4 linked regions of the Drosophila melanogaster genome follow. The protein of the gene in region 4 interacts with the protein of the main gene of each other region in a pairwise test. Each region holds a gene or a part of one and is shown on either strand. Other genes may lie near its edges. The genes, in order: l(3)neo38, CG7991, CG4766 and caup.

Region 1 (5,503 bases), on a different chromosome or scaffold from region 4:
AAGTGGAAAATATCTGTGCTGTTGCCAGGGCAAAAATAAATTATGAAACGCCATCTGGGGGATGGGGGTTGCCTGGGAATCTAATTATGCAAGCAAATGCAGCTAATTAGAATTGATAAGAAGAAGGACCCTTTGGTTAGGGGCTAGTATAGGGGTTATGTATTCTATATATCGGGAATGGAAGCGACCGACCGCCAGACCGTCCAACCGGTCACACCCTTCCACTAAAACAAAAAAAGTTGCAAGTTGGCAGGAAGTCAGTGCAATTAAAAAGGCAAAGGCAGGCTCTCGTGGGTTGGGGGTTGTAACTCACACTCAAACACACACACACTCACTCACATACTCTCGCCCAACACACATACGTATATGCATTTAATTGTATTTCTATGTATGTGCTTAAGTAGCTGAAGAGAGCGGTGAAACCCACCCCTACAAAAAAACAAAGTGAAATGCAGCAAATTCAAAAGTTATTTGAGTTCATTGCATTTTCAAGCCACGCAAAACAACAACAGCCATAGCTTACACTCACACACACACAGGTTACACCCACTTGGGGGTGGGTGGTAATGACTCAAAACATAGAGCGGAATATTCGTATAAAAAGAGCGCAAAACAAAAACAACGACGAAAAAATCGTTAAATTCTGCTTTGATGACAGGGTATACTCGTACTCGTACTAAGTCGCTCCAACCCGCCAACCAACCCCCAAAAAATTGTAGTGCGGTTTACAAATTGCCTGAAGAAGATGTCTTTGCTAGCCAGAAAGCGAGAATTTCGTAGATGGGGGTGGAAAACCCGCTTACACTCACACATGTCTTTATGCGAATGTCAGTAAGTAGATCCAGATGGAAGCCACCTTTCGCTGGGAATTCAAGGAAAGTATTGTTCGAGTTTCAAGTGGGACTTTTTTTTTAGCTGAGTATTGGAAACGAAATTTTAACTAAGCTTCAGAGAATTGAAACTATTGAGAATTATTCATAGGATTGTCATAAGGTCCTACGATTTGTTTGAAGCAAAGTATGCTAAACAGAAGGTCAAATCAAACTTTATGTTGAGATCAATAAACCTCTTTGTTCGTGAACTCCAGAATATTATTGTAAAATAATACAGCTATAAGCAATTTGTATTAATTTCATTTAAATATTTTTGCTTACTCTACTTGCTTTTTCCTGCCGTCATGAATACTAAAATATGAACCAATTGGACAATCAAGAGGTGTTATTCACCGAAATTAGAGGTTGTATATTTTTTACGTTTTACTATTCTCATTTATGATGATCTTAATCATAAGTTATTGCAAGAAGTACCCGTTAGTTTTTGATGACTATCAGCAGCCCGTTTAGTTTATTTTTGAAAAAGAAGGCTATCCAGAAGTTGCCATTCCAACAAGAGTAGTGCCCTTTGCCCCAAAACAAGACCCTCTGTGTGTAGGGCATTAGGCGAGGCAGTAGCCGACCCCCTCTGCCACTGCCTCTGTCAACGACTCTGTCTCCCCACCACCACCGCCACTGTCGCTGCTCGAGTGAGAGTGTATACCCCCTGACGCTTTGACGCCGGCGTCGCTGCCCGCAGCGGGCGAAAATAAATCGATAAAAATAAAATAAATTTTTAGTGATTATGTTATACAGACACATGTGCCTGCATGTGCATTGCAGGCGATTGTCTGTCCGTATGTGTAGCCACATTGTAAATGTTGTATAGTATAGTGTAGTGGTGGGGCAGATGCACTTACCGTTGGGCACATTCTGATTAAAGTGATTGCCATTGGTCTGATATCGCTGCACATGGTTATCGGTGCCGGCCGCTGCCGCTGCGGCTGCTGCATTCGCGGCAGCCGCGGGGGGCGTGCCGAAGGCGCCCGGCGTCTGGGCGTCGAATTTAGCGGCAAATTGGTGGATGCCGGAGAAGGGGCCGCCGAACGCGGAGAAGTTCATCATGTCAGGATCGGGATGATCGGCGGGGTAATGGATAGTAGTTCTAGGGCCTCGAGGGGCCCTTTTGGTTTAAGCAAGACAATCTTTCGAATCGCTTTAGCACTAAAACTCGATCGGTCGCTAATATTACTTGCAATTCTATTTCTTTTCTTTTTTGTAATTATTTTCTGCACAACGCGAAACGATGACGAAGTGTTGTAGTGGGTGGTGGCGGTAATGGTAATGATGGTGGTGGTGCGCTGGTTGTGTGCCTTCTGTTGTTGTTTTCCTGTTCTCCGCCGTCGCTGGTGGGGGTTGGTTTTCTTTTCTTTGCCTCCTTTCCCCTGGTCGCACTCATACACTAGCACTCACACAGAGGCACATAGACACACGTACGCGCTTACGAGCGCACAGTTTTATGCTGTGCTTTGCTTTTTCGGGGGTAGAAAAGCAGAAAAGCGGGCCCAAACACAACACGTACACACACACACACACTAGCTCGCACACGCGGAGAACCACTTTCGGTTTCGATTTTGATTCTCGATTCCGCTGGATTCTGATTCCGATTCTGCTTCTGCTTCGCCTCAGCTCGAACTAAGCACGCACACACAACCGGCGGAACGGAGCGGAATCGCACTAAAGTCTCGCTTACGATTTCGCTTACGACCGGCTCGTCGAGGCTCCGACATCAAACTAAAAGTAACATTACAACGAGGCGAAAGAAAGCGGAAACACTGGGCCAGGCAAAGCGACGCGGACGCGGACGGCGGCAGCGCTGCGACGCAAATGACAGTGACAGTGCCCAGAGGCACGCTGGGTATATCGGTTGGGAGGTATTCGCACCCCTTTTCCTCGCTTATGGTTTAGATGGTTTTTAGTTTTTATATTTCGTTAGAGGGCTAATGGCACTCGTTTTCATCCAATCTCTCATGGTTACCTTTATCGGTAGTTTAGATGGGTATTTTACCTATAAGTTGATCGTTTAATTAGTTTTTCAAATTATTTAATACATATAATAAATAGAATGTTTTTAAATCAACCGATTGCTAATGATAATTTTACACCCCTTTTAGCGCTCCTCTTGTTAAATATATTTTTTTTAATTATTCCCAAGATCATGTTAAGCATTGGCAATGACCCCCCGCATTTACTGGGTAGCAACTATTCGTCTACCAACCAATTGCACGACTGCAGCATTCTTACATGTCTGTATTAGTTCGCTGTGTGTTTGTACGACTGTCTGTATGTTTGTGCGCTGTGTGCCGCTTTGAGGGTGGAAGTTTTTCTACTTCTCTGGAAAATGCGCGTTTATTTGAACGTTCCTTACATTTCGCTGCACCGAGTGTCGGGCATATGACACTGGTCCCAGGCCCCTGCTCCCGAAATTGGCTTGGTCACTTGGCCAGATTGCTGGGCAGAATATTCATGCGCGATCCGTGCAGGCGAAGTGCAATTTATGCTGGGACTGAAGCCGATACCGAGCTGATCCGAACCTCATAGCCAGACACGCAGTGAGACGAGCCACGAAATTCGCTGTAAGTTATCAGGATGAAAACCGGTTGGGAGCGAAGCATAAAAACTGGTTTCCAGCGAGAGATGAGCTACTTTTTGTGACCGCCGTCGAGGCAACAACAAATGTATTGACAACGTCGACCAGGATGACTTTTTGAATATCTGGATTTGGTTTAGGCACAGCAGAAAGGGCCATTAAGATTGCATTTATGTATTTTAATGGTAGGGAATAAATTTATTTGCATAACAAAATTCTGGATCTTGATCACTTTGGATGCCCTAAACTACTAAAACTACTATTGTAGTTCTTTGGAGGGTAAAAGGATAACCTGCTTTTAATATATTTCCTGATAATGGCTACCTTGTTGAAGAACATTTTTTAAAAATATTACATTATATCTGGGTTTGAATATAGCCTTTAGGACTCGAAACAATCATAATGAAATTTCTTATTAACTTGCAAAAAGGGTACTCATAGATCGACGTAGAGTGTCCACAAGAAAAACGCACATACAATGCGCCTTGTATTTTTATTTGGTTTTCCAACTTTTTGGGGTTGTGTGGTATGGCTGTGCACTTATACGTTTACATGTGAATATGTCAGTTTGTAGCGGCGTATGTACGATGTGTTTTCAAGTATCTATGTTTGGCTATATGCTTGTGTGCATGTATCTGGATCTGTTTGCCCACGGACATGTGTAGACGAAGGGAAAGGAGAGGCCGAGAGAGCAGAGCGTTCTCGAGCGCATTGCTCTCGTTGCATTCAATTCTGCCTCTGCTGTATGTTGTATTAATGAAAGTGAGTCCAGCGGCGAAAGAAAGCAGGCCGTGGAACTAAGACAAGTTCTTTTTTTGATTCCGCTTCTGCCTCTGTTCTCCTGCCTTCTTGCAAGTGTTTTCATGTTTTCCAAACCCACATCTAGGGGTTCGAGATCGGTAAAATAACTCCCCCTAGGAGTTTCGACCCATTTTCAATTAGTGATCCCTCTTCATTATGAATTTTGATGACAGATAAATACTTGTATGTACATACATATATATGTACATACATATATACCCCCATTTACATAAGCTTAATTAACGGAAATATTTCTATAACCTAGAGATATAATAATATGCGTATGACTTCTTTTTTTAATAAATTTAAGCAATCTCTATTTATAATATTAACATTATTAAGTAACAAAATAAATGCGCAGGAGACCGGCAAGTCGATTCGACTGCACCTTAATTTTTATGTGTTAATTCACATATACACGTGCACTTGCATAAGCGCCTGTGTGTGCATGTCTGTATGTCTTTTCTCATTCTTGTTTTTTCCTGTTGCAGTCTTGTCTTCTACTCGTTTAATACAGAGGGTTGGAGTTTTTTACGTTCTCTCACATTCTCCTTGTTTCGTCTCTCACTCACTTGCTCGTTCTCTCGTCTTCTCTCTTTCTGCCGCGCTTGAATCTTTGAATGCAATGCTTTGTTTAGCTTGATTTTCGAGCAATTGCAACTGTTACATGTGTTATCTAGAGTTTATATGCACATTTTCCAATTATTAATTACTGCCGATCGACGGAAGATACAAATATTCTGAGTATCGAATAATAGTTAGAAAACTCGATCACCGGCACTATCAAATATTTTGATACTCTCACACTCATGGGTACAGAATGTACCTGCAGATACTTCGATATACCGATGTACATATACATATGTATGTACATAGTTGTGCACATGTACACAATGTATGTTGATGTTAGGTTATTTGTATGTAACTTGTTTCCTTATTCAGCATCCTCTCCAGACCCCCACTCCATCTCCCCCACACTCATTCGGAATATAGGGTCCCACACAGCATAAACCCGACTTAGAGCCCAGAAAACCCTTTCCTCTGTAAACCCTTTCACCACTTGCAATTATTGAAAATGTCAAGGACCATCAGCGAGCTCAGAATAAATAAAAATTCGTTTTGTAATGGCGTTTATTGGTTTTATTAATTATCATGAGCTTTTAGTGGGCTGAAAGGCTTACAGCGAAATGTCGGGCGTTGGGAGGGGAATTTAATCTATGCTAATTGAAAAGGAGAGGCA
Region 2 (5,841 bases), about 11 Mb from region 4:
AATTCCCCACAATAGATGTTCCCAGTGCCGACCATTTCCTGCAGTCATTAGCGATTGGAAATGGCTGAGGAAGTTCCACTCCCGCCTCGAGTGCAAGTGAAATCCGATGAAGTGCATCCCCGGACGCGACGCTGGGCAGTGGAGCGAGGAGTGGAGGCAACGCCTCATGCCGAGCGCTTAACTTTTCGACATGTTTCACATGTGATGAAGATTAAGTAGAAAATAATTACAAGCTGCGTCCGAAGCGAAGCTAAAGCCAAAGTTGAGCTGAGCTGAGCTGGGCTGAGCCCAAAAGCTGTGTGTGCGATCGCGATCATATCGGATACACTGGGATTGGGATTGGTACTGGGATATCGGGATAGCTTTGTGATCGCTGCGCGGCCGGCGGTAATTACATAAACAGCGATGTCAGTGCGGTGACAGGACGGCGTCATCATCGCAGCCCAGGGAGCCCAGTGAATCTGGAGCTCGGCAACTGCGACTCGCAGTCGATCATCAATCGTGCGAACTTTCCAGGGGACCGCCCCCTCGGAACGCGGATATCACTGCGGTGGGGGCATCGCCGCCACGACCTGTTCCCAGATCCTCGCAGCCAGTGCTCGATGCTCGATGGCCAGAGAAAGAAACCAAACGGCCAGCCGAAAATAAAAGGGCCAAATCAGCGTGTAAGATGCCGGGGCCATAAATTTTAAAGTAATTTTCTCCTGGCCCCGAGTAATTTATGGGAAAATATTAAGCTGCCCCAAATACTCCACATCCAGATCCAAATCCAGATCCCAACTAGCGCAGACAACCTAAATTCGACCCCAAAAAACTAGCCAAATAGAGTAATTAAATCGGTGGCTGACCAGCTTCAATCCACTAGTCCTTGCTGGTCGAGGATCATTCCAGCTCATTCCCGATTCCCAGCTGAACCGGCTGAGTTATGGGCACCCCATCCTCCTGCACTTTGGGTCACGATTATCTGCATACGCAGCCGGCAATAATAATCTCAAAATTGGCGCACTTAAGCGAGGATCCTCGGCAGGCGTAATTTGAAAGTTATTTTGTTGCCGGTGCGGTGAAATTATTGAGCAATATGCTGATCTGTAAAATCATAAATAAAAATATTTGTACTTGACCGCAGCGGAGCCAGGGTTTTGCCCTGGAATGAGGATGGGAATGGGATTGGGAATGGGAATGGGCATCCACCTTCGCTCCATCTTCATCTCATCTCCTTCCACCCGGACGACTTTTATGTTATGTTATGAGGTGAGATCTTGGATCCCGGACGCGGGCTCCGGATGGCGAGTCTGCGCCCGCGGCTTAACGATTGATAAAGTCTTTTTATTTACAAGCTGATAATGATGGTGTAGGTGCAGCTTTTGGCATTGCGACGGTTTTCATGTAATTTATGAGCAATTTGCAGACAATTTTCGAGGTCCGAGCTCGTGGAATGCGCGGAAAGTGTAGGACTGACCCAAAGATGTGGGCTAAGTGGGTCTCAAAGGGGGACGCAGTCCGGTCAAGTGAAAGATCTACAAACGGAATTTATGGGAATTAAGCCACTTGCAAATGGAGTGCCCCAAATAGAGCTCGACTAAACTCGGTGAGAAACTCTCAATTGGAACTTATGTTTCTACACTTCTTACACAGTATATCTGTGGGTTTTGATTTATGGTAATTTAAATTGTTCCACCTTGCTCATCGTCTTAGGTTTCAGATAATTCTCCAGACACTGTTTACCATTCCAATCCCATCCAGCACGCTTCCACCGAAAGCCGAAAACTATTTTGTAATATTGATAACCATCTCGGCGGTGGGGAATGGAGCTCGGTCAGGCCATTAAAATGTCACAACAAAACGCCGAACTCATTTTTCGATGCGGCACTGGGCCACAAGCGACCATTAAACCTGCAACTTGATGGGCAGCTTCTATAAAAACAGAAGACTCCGGGCACGAACTAAGCGAACCAAATAGCCAGAAGTGTCAACTGCGGTATGGTAGAGCCAAGAACTCTGGGTAAGCCGATTATGGGCCACGACTTTCGGGAACGGAACGCACATAAAATAAATGTCGCTGGCAGAGATGTCCGATCTCCGGAATCGTGTTAGGCGTGCTCCGCGGCTCAGGAGGCGGGGCTACCCACTACTGGGACTACTGCTTTCATGTGGCGGTGGTGTGGATGTCACCTACTCCTACTCCTGCTCCTCCTCGTTCTGCCTGCGTTGTTATTGCTTGTGTCGCTGCTGATGATTGTCATTAACATCACATTACCACAAGTCAAAGTCATGTTTTTGATCCCAAATAAACCCCGAGAGCTCAGAACTGAGATACAGCGAATGAGACACATAGTCGGCACTTGGTTGGAAAGTTATGGAGCAGATGGGATGGGATGGGAGAAGACGAAGAGTAACCACAGGAATGTGGGGAAAAGGGACAGTTTTCAATGCGATGCTCGATAGCAGTTGGCCACCTTGTTGGCCATCGGGACAAATCTGTTATGACACCTGACTGCGGGCCATGGGTTTTCAAAGGAAGGAGAGGGATTCAAGTGGGGGATTAGGGTACAATGTGTTGACCACACTATAATCATATTGGTTAGTAAACCCATTCTTCCCAAGCCCCTTAAGACCATCAAATCTTTATCCGACTGATCGTGAATGTGTCAAATCTTTCCACTTCCATCCCAAGTGTTTACGCTTGAAACCAAACCTAGTGAGATATTATCTTCTACACGGCGATCTGCATAATTATGCTAAACACATTAAATCCATTCATAAATCTCTGGGCAATCGTCATCCACAAAGGGAACACCTCGGCGAGAATTTCGATGGCCAGATATGAGCTATTATTCATGTCCCGCGTGGCTCGCGCTCCCATTTGTATTTGTCCAAGTCTTTTGTGGGTGATGAAGCCCAGCGGGGTGAATTTACGATCTTGGCCAGGGAAGCACTGAAATAAAATCAATAAACCAGTCGCTGGGCACAGCCAGAAATAATGCTTAAGATGCAAATTATGCAGATGAGTCGAGGCCAAAATATTCGAGCTTGTCACTGGACCGAAAATCGAAATTCACCTGCCCGGCGAAATCATATTTCTTGTTGCCCAATCGTTGGAGGCGTGGTCCCGTCCCCCGTCCCCCATTACCACCATTCCCACAAACTTGGCCATATAGAAACGGGGACTTACTCGAAGAGCTGCTCGATCGCTGAAGACGCCTCTTCCAAAACAACATTGTGTTCCTCCTCTTTTGGCGCTGATAAGATCGTCTGCTGATTGGTTTCGTTATTTCGTTATGTGATCACTGGCTATGCGGGTGTGGGTCTATGGCGAAATGATCCCTCTCGCGGAGCAACACAGCTGATTAGCATAAACTTCGAATCACTCAGGAACCGAGCTCTCCCGAATTGTATCTTTCAGATACAGCCACGGCTGAATGGCAACTGCACTTGCCCAACGCGCACAACAAATTGAGACATTAGCAGCCGGCCAGCGAGGAAAGTTATGACCCGAGCTATGTGGAGTGGTTTCAATTCGTTTTTTCCCTCAGGTGTCTCAGGTGTCAACTGGAGGCGAGGTGTGCTCAATTAGCCGCCCGATTTCAGCACTTCCGTTAAGCCGAGCAACTCGGACTTCTGGCCCGCTCGACGGTTAATTAACGAATAAAAAGTCGCTCCGCTGCCTCGAAAAAAAACCTCCGAGCTCGACTTGAGCTCGCTCTGCCGCCAGCTCTTCTCGTCTGGCGCGCTGGCTCGCTGGCTCGCTGGTCTTCCGCGCTCCCTGCCACAATGGAAACGAACTGAAAATGTGTTACACCGAAACGCCGGGCGGCGCAGTCGACGCTCCGAAAGGGGCAGTCGTCGCACATTGGGGCCAGTGGGGACATAAAACAGGTGTAAGAAGCCCAGACGATCTGAATGCGAGCGACATATGGCTAATAGCCAGCCCATGGGCTGGATCGAGATGGAGATGGCGCGTTTTATGGGTTTCCAGGGTGCGGACACAATTAGATGTTCGTAAAAAGTGGCGTTTTATTTCACTTTTCAAAACAGGGTCCACTCCGCAGACTCGTTTCTTGCGGGCTGGCGACAAAATTATTAATTATCTCACAAACACTGGACAAACATGGCTAACAACTGGCTGGAGTTAAAAGGTAGTTACATCAGTGGTATCAGCTTGCTTACAAGCTGGGTTAGTCCATTAAAAAGCTATCACAGAACTGAGTCTTAAACTTAAAGTGTAATTTTAAAATATTATTAATATTTTTCAACACCTCAAAGATGTAATTCAGTGTGGCGCTGACTGCGCAGTCGCCGCCGGCGTCGCAGTTGGCGTCGCGTTGGTGGCGGTTCACTGAATTTCGCTGACTGTAGGTGGTTGTTGCTGCCCCCAAAATGTGTAACAGCAACAACAAGAGTCTGGCCAAATCGGCCAACAACAACGATCGTTGGCTCGTGCAGAGTTCAAAATGCACGCAACCTGCAAGACAGGCGACTATTGTTTATAGCCCGCTTGGATTTGTTTTTTTTTTTTTGCTCTTAACTCTTTCTTTTCGCTGGCTGCCTGCACATTTATTACTTAACGCTTTGATGCGTTGACGGTTTGATGGTTTGTTCTTCTTGGCCATCAGTTGCCCGCTTGCCGTGTGCCCCTCCGTTTGACATAGTGCACTTGGCCATATTCGCTCGGTTTGGGCCCCCTCATCATCATCGTCATCGTCGTCGTCGTCGTCGTCGTCCTCATAATCAGCCCTCTTTTTTGCTATATGTTCATCAAGCGAATCAGCGTAGCGAAGCATAAAGCCAAATTAACATAAACAACTTCTTTTCGACTTCCATATCTTCTATACACGGAAAATCGCTTTGATTATTACAAGCTATCTTCAAATTAAGATTGTCATATTTATAGTTTGGGATTCATGTTGAAATAATTTCTCTGTAGATACATTTCTTTGCTGTGAGCACTTAACCTAATCATATTTCATTCTTAACCCGATCTTATTTTCGTTCAGTGTGCTGCACGGCTTGCTGCTCTCAATCGCCCACATGGCCAAGTGCTCCTCCTCATCCCATCTTTTGCCCATTTCCTATGCGGCTATGTGGCGGAATTAAAGACCTTTTTACCATATACCATCTAACTATTTTCCGTCTGCTATTCTTCTACTGTCTAATTGGAATATGAATACGAATTTCATTTGTTGGTAGTTTGTAGTTTGTATTTTGTAGTTTATAGTTTGTTTTGCTTTTCTCCGGTTGGGGGATTTTTCTTGTGACAGGTCAGAAAGCCGCGCAAATTATTGGAATCACTAAAGGTAATGATCCAAATTGATGTTAGACTATGGTGGCTTCATCTTCATTGCACAACTGGAACTACATTCATATTTAAATATACGTTTTTGCTTACCAACCCACTTATTATGCACTTTTGTTGCGCGATTTAAATGTGAGTTATAAATATTTATGGACGCAATGAGTGCAGTCATGTGTGAGCCTGCTAATGGAATTCCGTGTTGCAATCGGAGTGCAACTACAGCACTTGGTAGTTATGGCACCCATATATTGTATCCACCATTGTTGCGTTGCCATGTCTGCACACGCAGTAAACAAGTTGGGAAATCGGCGGCACGCGCTCATTCAAATTAATTGAGAAGGATGTCGCGACCTTTGAGGAAGGATTACCGCACCGCGGACTTCGAGCAACTGAGCAGGATGATTAGGGACCATCCGCTGATGAAGGAGCCCGGAGCGGAGCAGCAGCAACTCCATAAGCTCCGTACGCCGGAGTACCGAACGAAGTGCGTGATGAGAGCTTCCTTGGATGACATTGCCTTGGGGGTGAGTGCCTATCATCCTTAATGT
Region 3 (6,384 bases), on a different chromosome or scaffold from region 4:
AAATTTCTTTGAGATCTAAGAGATATATAAAATACGGGAAAAACACACACATGCCACATGAAGTCACATGAATGGTCGGCGACCCCGAGACCCACGATCCTGGGTCTGAAAACCGAAAAACTGGAAAAAAAAATAAAAAAACTGTGTAGTTCTCCTTGTTGTGGCCTTTTTTTTAGTTTCCTCTGTTTGTTGAAATTTATGCAGATATGCGCGCATCTAGATAGGAGTTCCAGTGCCACCTCCATCTATCTGGTTACGTGGAAATCCAGCGCGCCAAAAATCAGCCAAATGCCATGGAGTGGTGAGGAGCACCTGGCATCGTCGTTCTCTCTAAAATGGTATCCCATCCAATCGTATCCCATTCATTGGGGCTCCATTAAAATTCGGCTGACAGCAACGATTCACGGCCCCAACAAATTGGAATGGGCTGAATACTATTTAGATATGGCTAGATCTGCTCAAACTGCCACTGATTGATGTCAATAAAGCCGAACAAAAGACCTAACAGCCAACAAAAGATACAGTGGGCCTTCGTTAAGTGGCCAAAATTAGTTTAAAGGGCCATCTAATTGATCATATTCGATATATAGTTTTTTTTAAGTATTTCGCTGTATATATTTCCTAACTTATACGTTTTTTAAAACTTTTAGTTCACTGCATCTCTTTCCATATATGTATGTATCTTAAACATTTTGTATCCATACCTTGCAGATACGTCTTTAGATACTTCCGTCACCATGGGATGCTTGACCCCTTTTTTCCGCTTCCTTCTGCGAAAATTCTGCTGGTCGTCGGCAATTGTGTTCGGTTTGTGTTTTGCCTCCACTCGAATTAGTGGCTGCGTTTGGGATTTGTCTAATTGGAGGAGGCGACGGGCGCTTTGATCTTGCCACATGTCCATCAAGTACACTACATATATGTATGTATACACGATGTACATATTATTATATGGTATATAAGACGTACGGAGAGGGGGAAAGGCGGTAACCGAGAACGGAGGAAGTTGCTCGCTTGGAACTGAGAGCGCTGTCAGAAATTGCCAACTGGCACATTAATCCACGCGACATATTTATGAGTGTAAATGTATCTGTGTATCCGCGAGATGCGAGATATAAAGATATCGGCCGGCAAACGTGGGACATGGACGAGGGTTGCTCGTTGCTCGCTGCTCTTTGCTAAATGAGTGCACATTTCAGATAAATTATTGCACACAACTTGTACGCGATGGCAGGCCGAAATGTATTTAACAAATTAAATTTACACACAGATACACACACCGCGGCTCGCAAGACTTCAAAGAGGGCGCCGCAGCGTAACGGCCGCCAAATGGGGCGTGGCCTCGACGGGCCAATGGCAACGCGCCGCTCTCACAGATACACAAGCAGGCAACCCCATAGATACACCCATACGCATGCAGGCCAGAGAGACAGACAGAGAGCGTATTTGTTTTTAGTACACGCAGAAAAATGAAGTTCTGTTTGTGTTTTTTATTTTAATGTTAACTAGTAATTTTAGTCAGAACCTTAAGTAGGGAATTATATTAAATCAAATAACCGAACTATTTCTTCTTTGAAAAATATAACATTTGTGATAAGAAGAAGTGGCTCTTTGCTACAACAACTAAGAAAGAGTTACTATTAGAATTGTATCTATAACGTTTAAAGTGCCTAGATTTTTGTCAAAGTGCATCTGGCAGATACGACAGATACGCGGGGCCTGTGGCGAGTATCTCATCGATTTTTTAAGCGTCGGAATGCGTGGCACGAGACAGAGACCCCTGTCACGTGACAGCACCGACATGTATCTGTATCTTTGTGTGTGCAGCTGTGTGTATCTGAGCCTGTGAGTCCCATTCATGCCACTGCCACCGAGATGGCGGATTTGTTAGATACTGGCATGGATATTGAGATACTTCGCTGCAGCCGGGCCAAACTGCACTTTCAGCGCTTTTTTTTTTATCTGCCCGAAGCTGTAAATATCCGCGAGATTTACAACGCCAGCCAGCCGCGACTTCGGTATCGGTATCAGTATCGTTTGGCTGACTTCGATTCGTACTCGGAATCGGCATCGGCATCGGCAGCGGCATCAGGCTGGGGGTATCGCTATTGAGCGCAGCGCATCATTCGGTCAGCAATTCGCCAATGCAGATACTGTATCTGCGGGCAGCAGCTACTAAAATTGAAGAGCCAAAAGCTAAAATACCCATATACATACTCGGTACACCGCGGTCATCGTCGTCGTCGTGCTCCACTTGTGCCCATTGTTGGTTCTGCTGTCACCGTAACTCACAATTGAATTGTTCCTTTGTTCTGTCCCGTCCAGAAGGAGACCCGCTGCCGAATTTCGCATAATTGGCTGGCTTTTAAGTTGGCCGCCAGACCAAGTGTCGCCGGTAAAAAGATACATCTACAGATAGATCGTTGTACTTTTGGTACTTTTGGAGCTTGGTGGAACTCGAACTGAGTACCATGCTGGTGCCGCCGGACATGATGGCCGCCCAGACGCGCATGGTCTATCAGATGAATCGATTCTGCACGGAGAGGGTTCAGGCCAGGATGTACAAGACGGCCACCGCCATCCGGGAGATCTGCAAGATCGTCCAGGACATCCTCAAAGAGGTGGAACTGCAGGAGCCGCGATTCATCTCCAGCCTCGTCGAGTGCAATGGCAGGTAAACTTTTTCAGTATCTTTTCATTAGTATCTCAGTATCTTTTCTTTAGTTTCTTAATAACCATATATTAATAACTATATTACCTAATGTTAAGCCGATGCATAAGTTAGCTAATAAAAACGAGAGCTGCTCATCCGATCAGAGATGTCTAGTGTTCCCAACCACAGAGCCATCAACAAGATATCTGGGTAATTCCAGTGCCCTGATGACTGTCATCGCGGCTACTTCTCACTCCAGTAGTTCCACACCATTGCAATCAAATCCGATCCTCTTCACTCCATTGCGATCATTACAACCAAAGTGCAGAGTCATTGTCAGTTAACTGACAAGTCATGCTCATCGAGGTCTCGCCACCAGAAACGGAGTAGCAGTCGCCCCCTATTATACTCATTTCAACACGATAAACTATCAGATTAATATATAGATTTAAAAATATATATATAGTATTGTAAGTAAGCGGTTTCATCGAAATAGTTAACATCACTTTTACAGATTCGAGGGCGTTGAAGTGATATCCCCGAATGAATTCGAGATAGTGCTGTATCTGAATCAAATGGGTGTCTTCAATTTCGTGGACGATGGCACCTTGCCGGGATGTGCTGTTCTGAAGCTGAGCGATGGAAGGAAGCGGTCCATGTCCCTGTGGGTGGAGTTCATAACGGCCAGTGGTTATTTGTCCTCCCGGAAGATCCGTGCCCGTTTCCAGACTCTGGTGGCCCAGGCGTGCGATAAAAGTGTCTACCGCGACATGGTCAAAATGGTGGGCGACACCAGCGAGGTGAAGTTGCGCATTCGGGAGCGATTCGTGGTCCAGATTACGCCGGCATTTAAGTGCTCAGGCATCTGGCCAAGATCGGCGGCCCACTGGCCGGTACCACATCTCCCGTGGCCACATCCCAACATCGTGGCGGAGGTCAAGACCGAGGGCTTCGATCTTCTGTCCAAGGAGAGCGTCATCATGCAGAACAAGAACAACAATGCCGCCAGCATGGAGGGCGATGCCTGGGTGCTCAGCTTCTTCGAGGCCGAAAACCGTCTGCTGCAAGGTAAACATCTTATGGATACACCTTTACACTTACAGAAAAGATCACACAATTTACTAGCAACTTTTAGTATAGTTTGGGAATTTGAAATCTGGTGTATTTAAATCTCATATTGAATTCCTTTCAGGTGGCTGTCGTCGACGTTGTCTGAGCATGCTGAAGACCCTGAGGGACAGGCATCTGGATTTACCAGGCAATCCCATCAGTGCGTATCACCTGAAGAACCTGCTGCTCTACGAGTGCGAGAAGCATCCGCGGGACTTTGAGTGGGACGAGGGCTGCATCGCTGACCGCATCAATGGGATATTCCTGCAGCTGATATCCTGTCTGCAGTATCGCCGTTGTCCCCACTACTTCCTTCCCGCACTGGACATGTTCAAGGGTAAATCCCCCAGTGCTTTGGAGCAGGCGGCCAAGCAGGTGTGGCGCTTGACCCGCGAGCTCCTCACAAATGCCAACGCCTTTGAGAAGTTGTAAGGTGTCAGAGGTTAAAGGTCACGACTGGTCGATAATGGCGATGACATTTTTGGCAGGAATTTATAATTATTAACCGCACTCATAGAGTGAATATTGTTCTTATTTTTTTACCCGTTAGATTAGATTCTTTTGCTCCATTCACATATTGTTGATTTGACTAACTTCTTCTTGCAGTCACGCAAATATCGACCCATCCGAAGTCGGGGGAGTGCTGATGTGTATGAGGTGCCAGGCAAGTCGGAGATGAAAGGTACATATGCGAATAAATACATACGCATAAGCACAGCTCCTTGGCGGCCATTTTGTGCCATGTCTGTGTATATGTGACTGTCTGCGTGCGTGCGCGTGTGTGTGTGTGTGTGTGCGAAAGTGTTAATGCGAAGATGCGAGATAAGTCCACTCCCCATTCGACTCGACTCGACTCGACTCAACTCGACTCGATGCGATTCGAGATATATATCTGCCCATCCAAGCGATCCGGCTAAGCCTCGAATATTGTTTTTAATAACTCGCCCCTCGACGCTCACGACACATCCTTTGTTTGGCCGGCGAACAATGGACTCGCCGGTTCGCAAGTCCGGATGGAAAAATCGAAAAATCGAGAGAATGAAAAAAGAGCATTTGTCCAGGCGGCTCCTTTTACACGGTGGCTATACACACTCGACGTATACGATTGTTTCACAGTTCGCAGATCCTAGATCAAAGCAAAACGAACATACAAAAAATATATAATATATACATATAGCGCTAGAACAGAGGGAGATACAGATTCCATTGATCGTTCCAAGTCCAACTTAACATTGTTTTACTACTTACATATACATATACACATATTTATGTATGTCGATGTCTATTATGCGATGCCTAACATTTACCACGATTATCCGCAGTTTGTTTTAAGTACAACATAATCCTAGATTGCTAATGTAAAAAATGCTTGAATAAATTCAAGGATAGCCAAAGGCAACACTCCAGGTATTGTTTTCCTATCAATAGGGATTGTATTTTAAATCACTTGATTGCTTAGCAAATACTTACACAACACTTGCTGAAAGAACATGGAGAGTTAAAAAATGGATGTTCTTAACTGATATTCATATATTTAAATGAGGCTGACAAACGGAAGATGTACCACAAAAAAAGGACAAATCTGGAAAGGATGTGCTGGGATCTCATTAGTTCGATCGGCGGTTGAGTTAATGTTATGATTATTGGCAGTGGCGAATATTTATTTGCAAACGACGACATATCTGGATCTGGATGTGGATCGGAATCGTCTTGGGATCTGAGGCTGGGAAGATGCAGCTGCTGCAGCGACAACTGAGCATCACTTTTATTACCCTTATTTATGGTTATTTTCTGGCGGGGGCTGGATCCACGAAAACCGAGTGGTTTGCCTGCTTTGTTCTGCGGTTCTTTTGTCCCTTCGCTTTACTTTATTATTTTTCGTTTTTTTTTTTCTTTCTTTCTTTTTTTTTGGATTTTTTGCGGAACGAAAACTTTCAGCGAATGTAATCGATATTTTCCTCGATGGACGCGTCGACAAAAGGTGTCTCTAAACGGAGAGCACGGGATATAATCAGCGTCAGCACAAAGAGCCAGTTGGTCGGAGCGATTCGAGTCCAAGGATATGCCAAGGATATAATAATGCGTGGGCCAAAATAACAAATTATGCCAAGGCACGCAGGGATCATGTTACGCAGCCCTCCATCACCAGCAGTAACCCCTGTGCCACTAACCCTCGACTGGGTGGCTTTGGCTGTGGCTCTAGCTTTGGCTGTGGTCCTGTTCTTGGTCCTGGGAAAAGCATCATCAGGTGACCGAATCGGTATCCGAGTCCGCAGGCGAATCCTCCGCAGGATGCGCACTTGGCCGCCAGCGGGAGGACACGTGACTGCCTGTTTTCCTTAATTTTCATTCACTTTGTGGGTGGAGATGCGACCAGAACCATGTGCCAGTTGCTTCGCATCGATAAGGCACGATTCCCATTGCCCCGTTGACAAATGGTATTCGAGAGGCCATTTAATGGGGGCCAACAGTTAGAGCTCAGTTCGAAGTACCAGGAACCATGACGCAGCACCTGCCCATTCACATGGCCAAGTCCCAAAATCATCCTGATCCCGGGCAGCCTTCTCATTTGATCGGCTGTCACAACTTTGGCGAAGCCACAACAAAATATTGTCGCTTTTCGC
Region 4 (5,456 bases):
CATAGCTGAAAGAGTTCAATAGTATGAAAAGTCTAACAATTCTCACTTTCTAGTTTCTAGATACATTTAACAACTGCTATTTTACTGAATAAATTAAGATAAAATCAATTGAATTTATTTAAATATCTATATAGAACTTGTAGAAACATTACTTAAACAAAAACCTTCCTGAATAAGAATTTTTAAAATGAATTAAATTTATGTAGAATTTATGTTTGTTATCTAAATAAAAGGTATGGATATAAGTTTTATGGTAGTGAACAGCTAAGTTTACCGATTTATGCTTCTATTTCGCTTCTATGTCATTAAAATAAATTTGAGAATAAGCCCCTACCAATTGCCCACATTTTTTCTCGCCGTGCATTGAATGGCCAAAGGGACTGGCTCCAAAGTGCGTTTTTGCTAATGCGAATAAGTTGCTCGGTTTTTTGTGGGGCTTGCTTATTGAATTAAGTTGGGGCGCAGAATACTATGGTTCGCAGTGGAACAACTCTTTCGCAACTCAACTGCGGTCTCAATGTTTGCATTAAAAATTCATAAATCAATTATGGAATGCACACTGCGAAATATTAGTTTTTTCTCGCATCATTTACGGGCTTGTCCTTTTGCGTCCCAATGGAGATGGAGATGGGGAATTTGGGGGGGCTTCAGATGGAGCCTATGTGAATCCAGGACTCGACATCGTCGCGCACTTTTTGCTGCCTTAGAATTTTAGTTATTTTGCCATGAAATGCGTGAACAGCTCGCATGGGAAGTTAAGAATTCGATGTGCGATGTGCCTGCAAGTTCTTTTGCTACTGCCAACTGTCAGCCGTTGATTAAATTTATATATTGTCGTTTTTTTTTATATTTGGAATGCCGTCTTGGCGTCGAAATTAAAATTAAATTAATGAGAACCCGAGTGTGTGCACTGCATAAATTTGGCACCCGAATGCCATATCAACTGACCAGTCTTTCATTGGTGGCTTAGTCGCATTTAGTGGCTTTTAGTGGCTTTAGTAGACGTATGCAAATGAGCCGAAAACGATGACAAAATTCTGTTGGCTCTTAATCGATTGCAAGGCAAAAGGCTTTTTGCACATCTCCAGCCATAATTATAGTCGATAATCTGAACGTTCATTATTTTAATTATTGTAATTTACCAAGTTTGCATATTATAATAAATGGTGCACCACTCCGCCGGCGGCTTCATTAGCATAAATTTATGCCAGCCACCGTGGTCAGGAATATTGTATACATACACACATATATACATATGTATATATATAAATGTACATAAATTGGCAGCAGGATAAACGCACTAGCATTGACGCATTTGACCACATAGTAGTCGTTGAACATGGCTTACACAGGCATTGCAAGGGCTTTGTAGCTGCAAGTGTTTCACTTCCCCCCGTTTGGGCCAACTAATTTGAATTACTGAGCTCCGAATACCGGGTAATTATGACCAGACCTCGGACGATGCACTGCCACCGGAATGCCCCACCAGACCCCCCCCTTCGGTTACCAGCGATTTGCATCCAAGGCGGTGACGGCTGTCCTAAATTGTGAAACATTTCTTGGCGGCGGGGCGGCCATTATGGCTATATCCGCATATATATATATATATCTATATATATATGTATGTATATATATAGGGATCCAGGAGCCCCAACCGGTGCCAAAGTGCTTGAATATTCATGTGCAGTGGCTGCTCCCCAAACCCGCCGGCTTAATATGTAAATTTAAAGTTATTTCGCACCGTCCATTATTAAAGATTTCCCTTTTCGCACATGCCAAAATATTCAACTGACTCAGTTTCTGGTTTTATGAAACATCTTTTGTGTGTGTGCCAAATATTATTTTAGTCCGCACTAAATAAATAGTATATTCAAGTGTCTCTTGAAATGATTAAGTTATGGCTGCATATTGAAATGGCACAGCTGTAAATCAAAATATAATAAATACATATAACGAAATTAATAAATTTAATTTCATGGCCAATATAAATTGTTATGACTAAGCCATCTGTTTTAAATTTAAATTTAAGGCACCCAGTAGCAATAATTCAGAAATTTGCTCTTTCAACTGGTTTTTCGCATTCTACTCAATTTAAATCAATGTATTTATAAATCTTCAGATTCTATTCACAATAATTATTGTAAGCAAAGTGCTCTTTATAATATGGTATTTATGGCCTTCAGTTTGAACACAAATTATGAGATTACAAAAAAAAATTTGGATAAGGTTTTTAATTGATTTGGAATTTGTTACTTTTAAAATTGAATATATTATTGACAAAATCTAAAGGGAGCAACATTTTCAAAGCAAATATAAATGTATATATAAGATACAATATTGGATCCATACTAAAAGATTCCTTAAAATTGTTGTCTGTGCTAAATAACCGTTTAAAACTTAAGTTAAGTTTGCTTACTAATCAATACAGACTTAAAAAAAACGGTTAACTGTTAATCTCTAAACAAACCACCGGCATAAACCCACCTGATTTGCCGTCGGGTAGCCAGCGTATCCAAACTGCGCATATGCAGCCATTGTCTCGCTGGCTGAGTTGGCCTAAAGAGCGGCGACACGCGAGTTCACTGTGCCGGGGCTTCACTGTGGGGCGTCCCTCGTTGTTTGCTTGTTGTTTTCTTATTTTTTTTTGCGATTGCGGATGCGGATGCTGGCGGAGCCCTCGAAAAAGGGGTGGCCAAGGATGTGGGGATGGTGTTGGGTGCTTAAGGGAGGTTCAAGTGGGTGGCCAGTGGGTGGTTGGGTTGGGTGGCTGGGCGGATTTGGCGTGCGTGCTCGACGGCTAAGCACTCTGGGCGCTTTTGTTGTTTGCTGGCTTGTTGGGTGTTGTGCTATTGTTGTTGTTGCTGCTGCTGGCTGGCCTTGTTGAAAATTGATAAAACAAATTGTCGATGTCGAGCAGTTCTGTTAATGTCGCCGGAGCCGGAAAATGTTTTGTTTGTTTTGTGTGACTTTGCTGTTTTATTTCGCTCGTCCGTTTTCATCCGTTTTAACTTGATTTTTATTGACTCTGTTTGACTCTTTGGCGGCCGGTTACCAAAATGGTTAAAAAAAGACACACACAGACGACAGCCGGGCAAAGCAAATTGGATTCAAGTGTTTGCCGCAAACAGATTTACAAATGTACGCGGCTCTTCAGTCTTCGGTCAAAAGAATGTGTCAGTTTGGTTTGCGAGTTTACCCACTGATTGGTATTTCAGTTTTTTCCACACTGTATCGAAATTTTTTAAAGTCAGCTTAGGAAACTTTTTGATATGTGATCCATAATAATAAACATAGTTTCGAATTTATGGCGAGTTTCTTTTGATATTTAACGAGACATTTCTAGAGAGGTTTGCCTGTCTTTTCGGGTCCCTTTTTTTCGTATTTACTTTTATCATAACTATTGCACGCACTTCATTATCTACGTCGGTTGCATCTGCCGATCCGATCCGCTGGCAATGCTCCAGTAAAAACGGGTTCCGTTCCAACCTGTCAGCGGTATCTCCACGGTGACGACGGCAGTGACTGCGACTCAATAACCGACTGTGACTTATCCGGTGACTGTAACTCGTTCGTCGGTACTTTCGTTTCGGCCTTTTTTCGAGTTTACTGGGCGACGCGGCGGAGATGCCAAGATGCGAAGATGCGCACCTATTCGCGTTTCGGAACAAACTGTTTTTCGGCCGCTCAGCGAGCAGCGCGGTTGCGTGTGACAGAGATGGCAGCAGCGATGTAAACGGGATGGCTGCAGGGCCGCGAGAGAGCCAGCCAGTTAGGAGCTCTCCCATTGGCCAGCGTTCCAATCAGACTGGCAGCCACGAGCAGCAGCCTTCTCGCTTGCACGTCTGTGAGTGGTCTGGTAACGAGTGAGAAGGGTAGACTCTCTGGGGCTGTTGTTGCTTTGTTCGTTGAGAACGCCCACCTCCAAGCACTGGAAAGTAAGTCGACGCTCTCTTTCTGCCGACCCCTCTCTGTCGACGTTGGAAGCGATTTCATGGCGGACCACGATCGAAAGGCTTCCCAATTGGATATTGTAGCCAAAGTTGGCTAAGAATTTTCCGATTTTGATAAAAAAGTACAATACAGAAATAATTGGAAAAACTAGAAAAGAGTTGCTGAAGATTTGCTATCATAATAACTGGTCAAAATACGTCTGGGCATACATTCGTGGGAAGAATTGGAACATTTTTCTACAATCTCAAAAAATCAAACATTAATTTAATTAATTAAATATAATGTTTAAGAAAATTTGCAGGCATATAAAGATATGTTTTTCAAGACGAGTGGGTATACAATCTCTTTAATATTGAGTAGTTTAGTGTTTTATTTGATCCGCTTCCAATTATTCTTTGAAATTTTAAAAGAGAATTTTCAATATTAAAATAACAAAAACATAAAACCTTTTTTATAAGCCCAGCTGAAATAAATATAATCTATGTCACATCAAACTACAAAAAATAACATACAGCAAACAAATATAAGCATGTTTTTATATTTTAATAAACATATTTGCTTTTCTATCTTGGCTCCCAATAAACAAAAAGTTTGATATTTTAATGTGCATTTAAATTTTGGGTGGTGTAAGGACTTGGAAAATCTAAAAAGTAATCAAATTAAATTATTTTAGAAGGTCTGCAAGTATATAAAGCCAAAATCTAATTTTATTTAAGAAAACTAATCCGTACGTTATTGGTAACATCAACAACATTTAATCATTACAGTGTGTGTGTGTTTTTTTAAAAATAGCTTGATATATGCATTGTACATTTCCCATAAAAGTGCTTAATGCTCCAATATCTCAAGGCCAAATCACGAAAATCGCAGCTAATTGGGACTAGCTAATCGTAACAAGATACCGAAATAGGAGAAAAAACAAACAAACAATCCGATTCCATTCGATCCAAGGAAGGGGGCGTGGCCGGTCCATTTGAGGGTCCTCGAGTCGAGTGCGTTCTAATTAATGGTATGTGGAGCGGGCGGGGTGGGGAGGGGAACTGAACGTTTTTGGGGAATTTTTGTAAAATGAGTATTTTGATGTTTTGGGGTGTTAACGCGCTGCCATTTATTATAAATGCGAGTGCATCTCAAAGTCAAAAGAGACGCACATGTGGCACTTTTTTCGGTACTTACAAACGAACGCATATGTAAATGTGTGTGTAGCAATGTGTCATTTGCATAGGAAAATGAAAATGCACCGGGTATTTTTGGGAAAAGTGTCCGAATGCCCAAACTCCTGATCGGTACTCAATTTCTGGACGCTCTTGGCGGCGCCACGAAATTCTACACCCACTTCATGAGTCTGGGGATCTGGAATACGAAAGGATTCACATGAAAGAAATGCATTTGAGAATAAAGAATTCATCCATGAAATTTAAAATGTATGCTTTTAAAAATTGAATTTCTAAAGAGCCAAATTGTGATTGGTTTAAAAGTTGCAAATAGTTATTCTTCAATTGAAA

Evidence for each region.
Region 1: the proteins of caup (region 4) and l(3)neo38 interact in a two-hybrid assay, tested with the Drosophila melanogaster proteins (one large-scale study listed by BioGRID).
Region 2: the proteins of caup (region 4) and CG7991 interact in a two-hybrid assay, tested with the Drosophila melanogaster proteins (one large-scale study listed by BioGRID).
Region 3: the proteins of caup (region 4) and CG4766 interact in a two-hybrid assay, tested with the Drosophila melanogaster proteins (one large-scale study listed by BioGRID).

What each region holds. Positions count from the first base shown.
Region 1 is NT_033777.3:11,775,742-11,781,244, forward strand, and holds the start of l(3)neo38 (lethal (3) neo38), read right to left. Parts: upstream 3,388-5,503; 5' UTR 3,241-3,387; exon of another isoform or gene 3,117-3,240; intron 2,881-3,116; 5' UTR 1,938-2,880; coding exon 1,733-1,937; intron 1-1,732.
Region 2 is NT_037436.4:1,672,499-1,678,339, reverse strand, and holds the start of CG7991 (uncharacterized protein), read right to left. Parts: upstream 3,632-5,841; 5' UTR 3,219-3,631; coding exon 3,173-3,218; intron 1-3,172. Other genes in the region: CG13930 (uncharacterized protein), read left to right, coding at 5,635-5,817.
Region 3 is NC_004354.4:5,996,281-6,002,664, reverse strand, and holds CG4766 (uncharacterized protein), read left to right. Parts: upstream 1-1,867; 5' UTR 1,868-2,468; coding exon 2,469-2,671; intron 2,672-3,164; coding exon 3,165-3,718; intron 3,719-3,842; coding exon 3,843-4,192; 3' UTR 4,193-5,157; downstream 5,158-6,384.
Region 4 is NT_037436.4:12,607,848-12,613,303, reverse strand, and holds the start of caup (caupolican), read right to left. Parts: upstream 3,674-5,456; 5' UTR 2,536-3,673; coding exon 2,485-2,535; intron 1-2,484. UniProt on the Drosophila melanogaster protein: Controls proneural and vein forming genes. Positive transcriptional controller of ac-sc (achaete-scute). May act as an activator that interacts with the transcriptional complex assembled on the ac and sc promoters and participates in transcription initiation.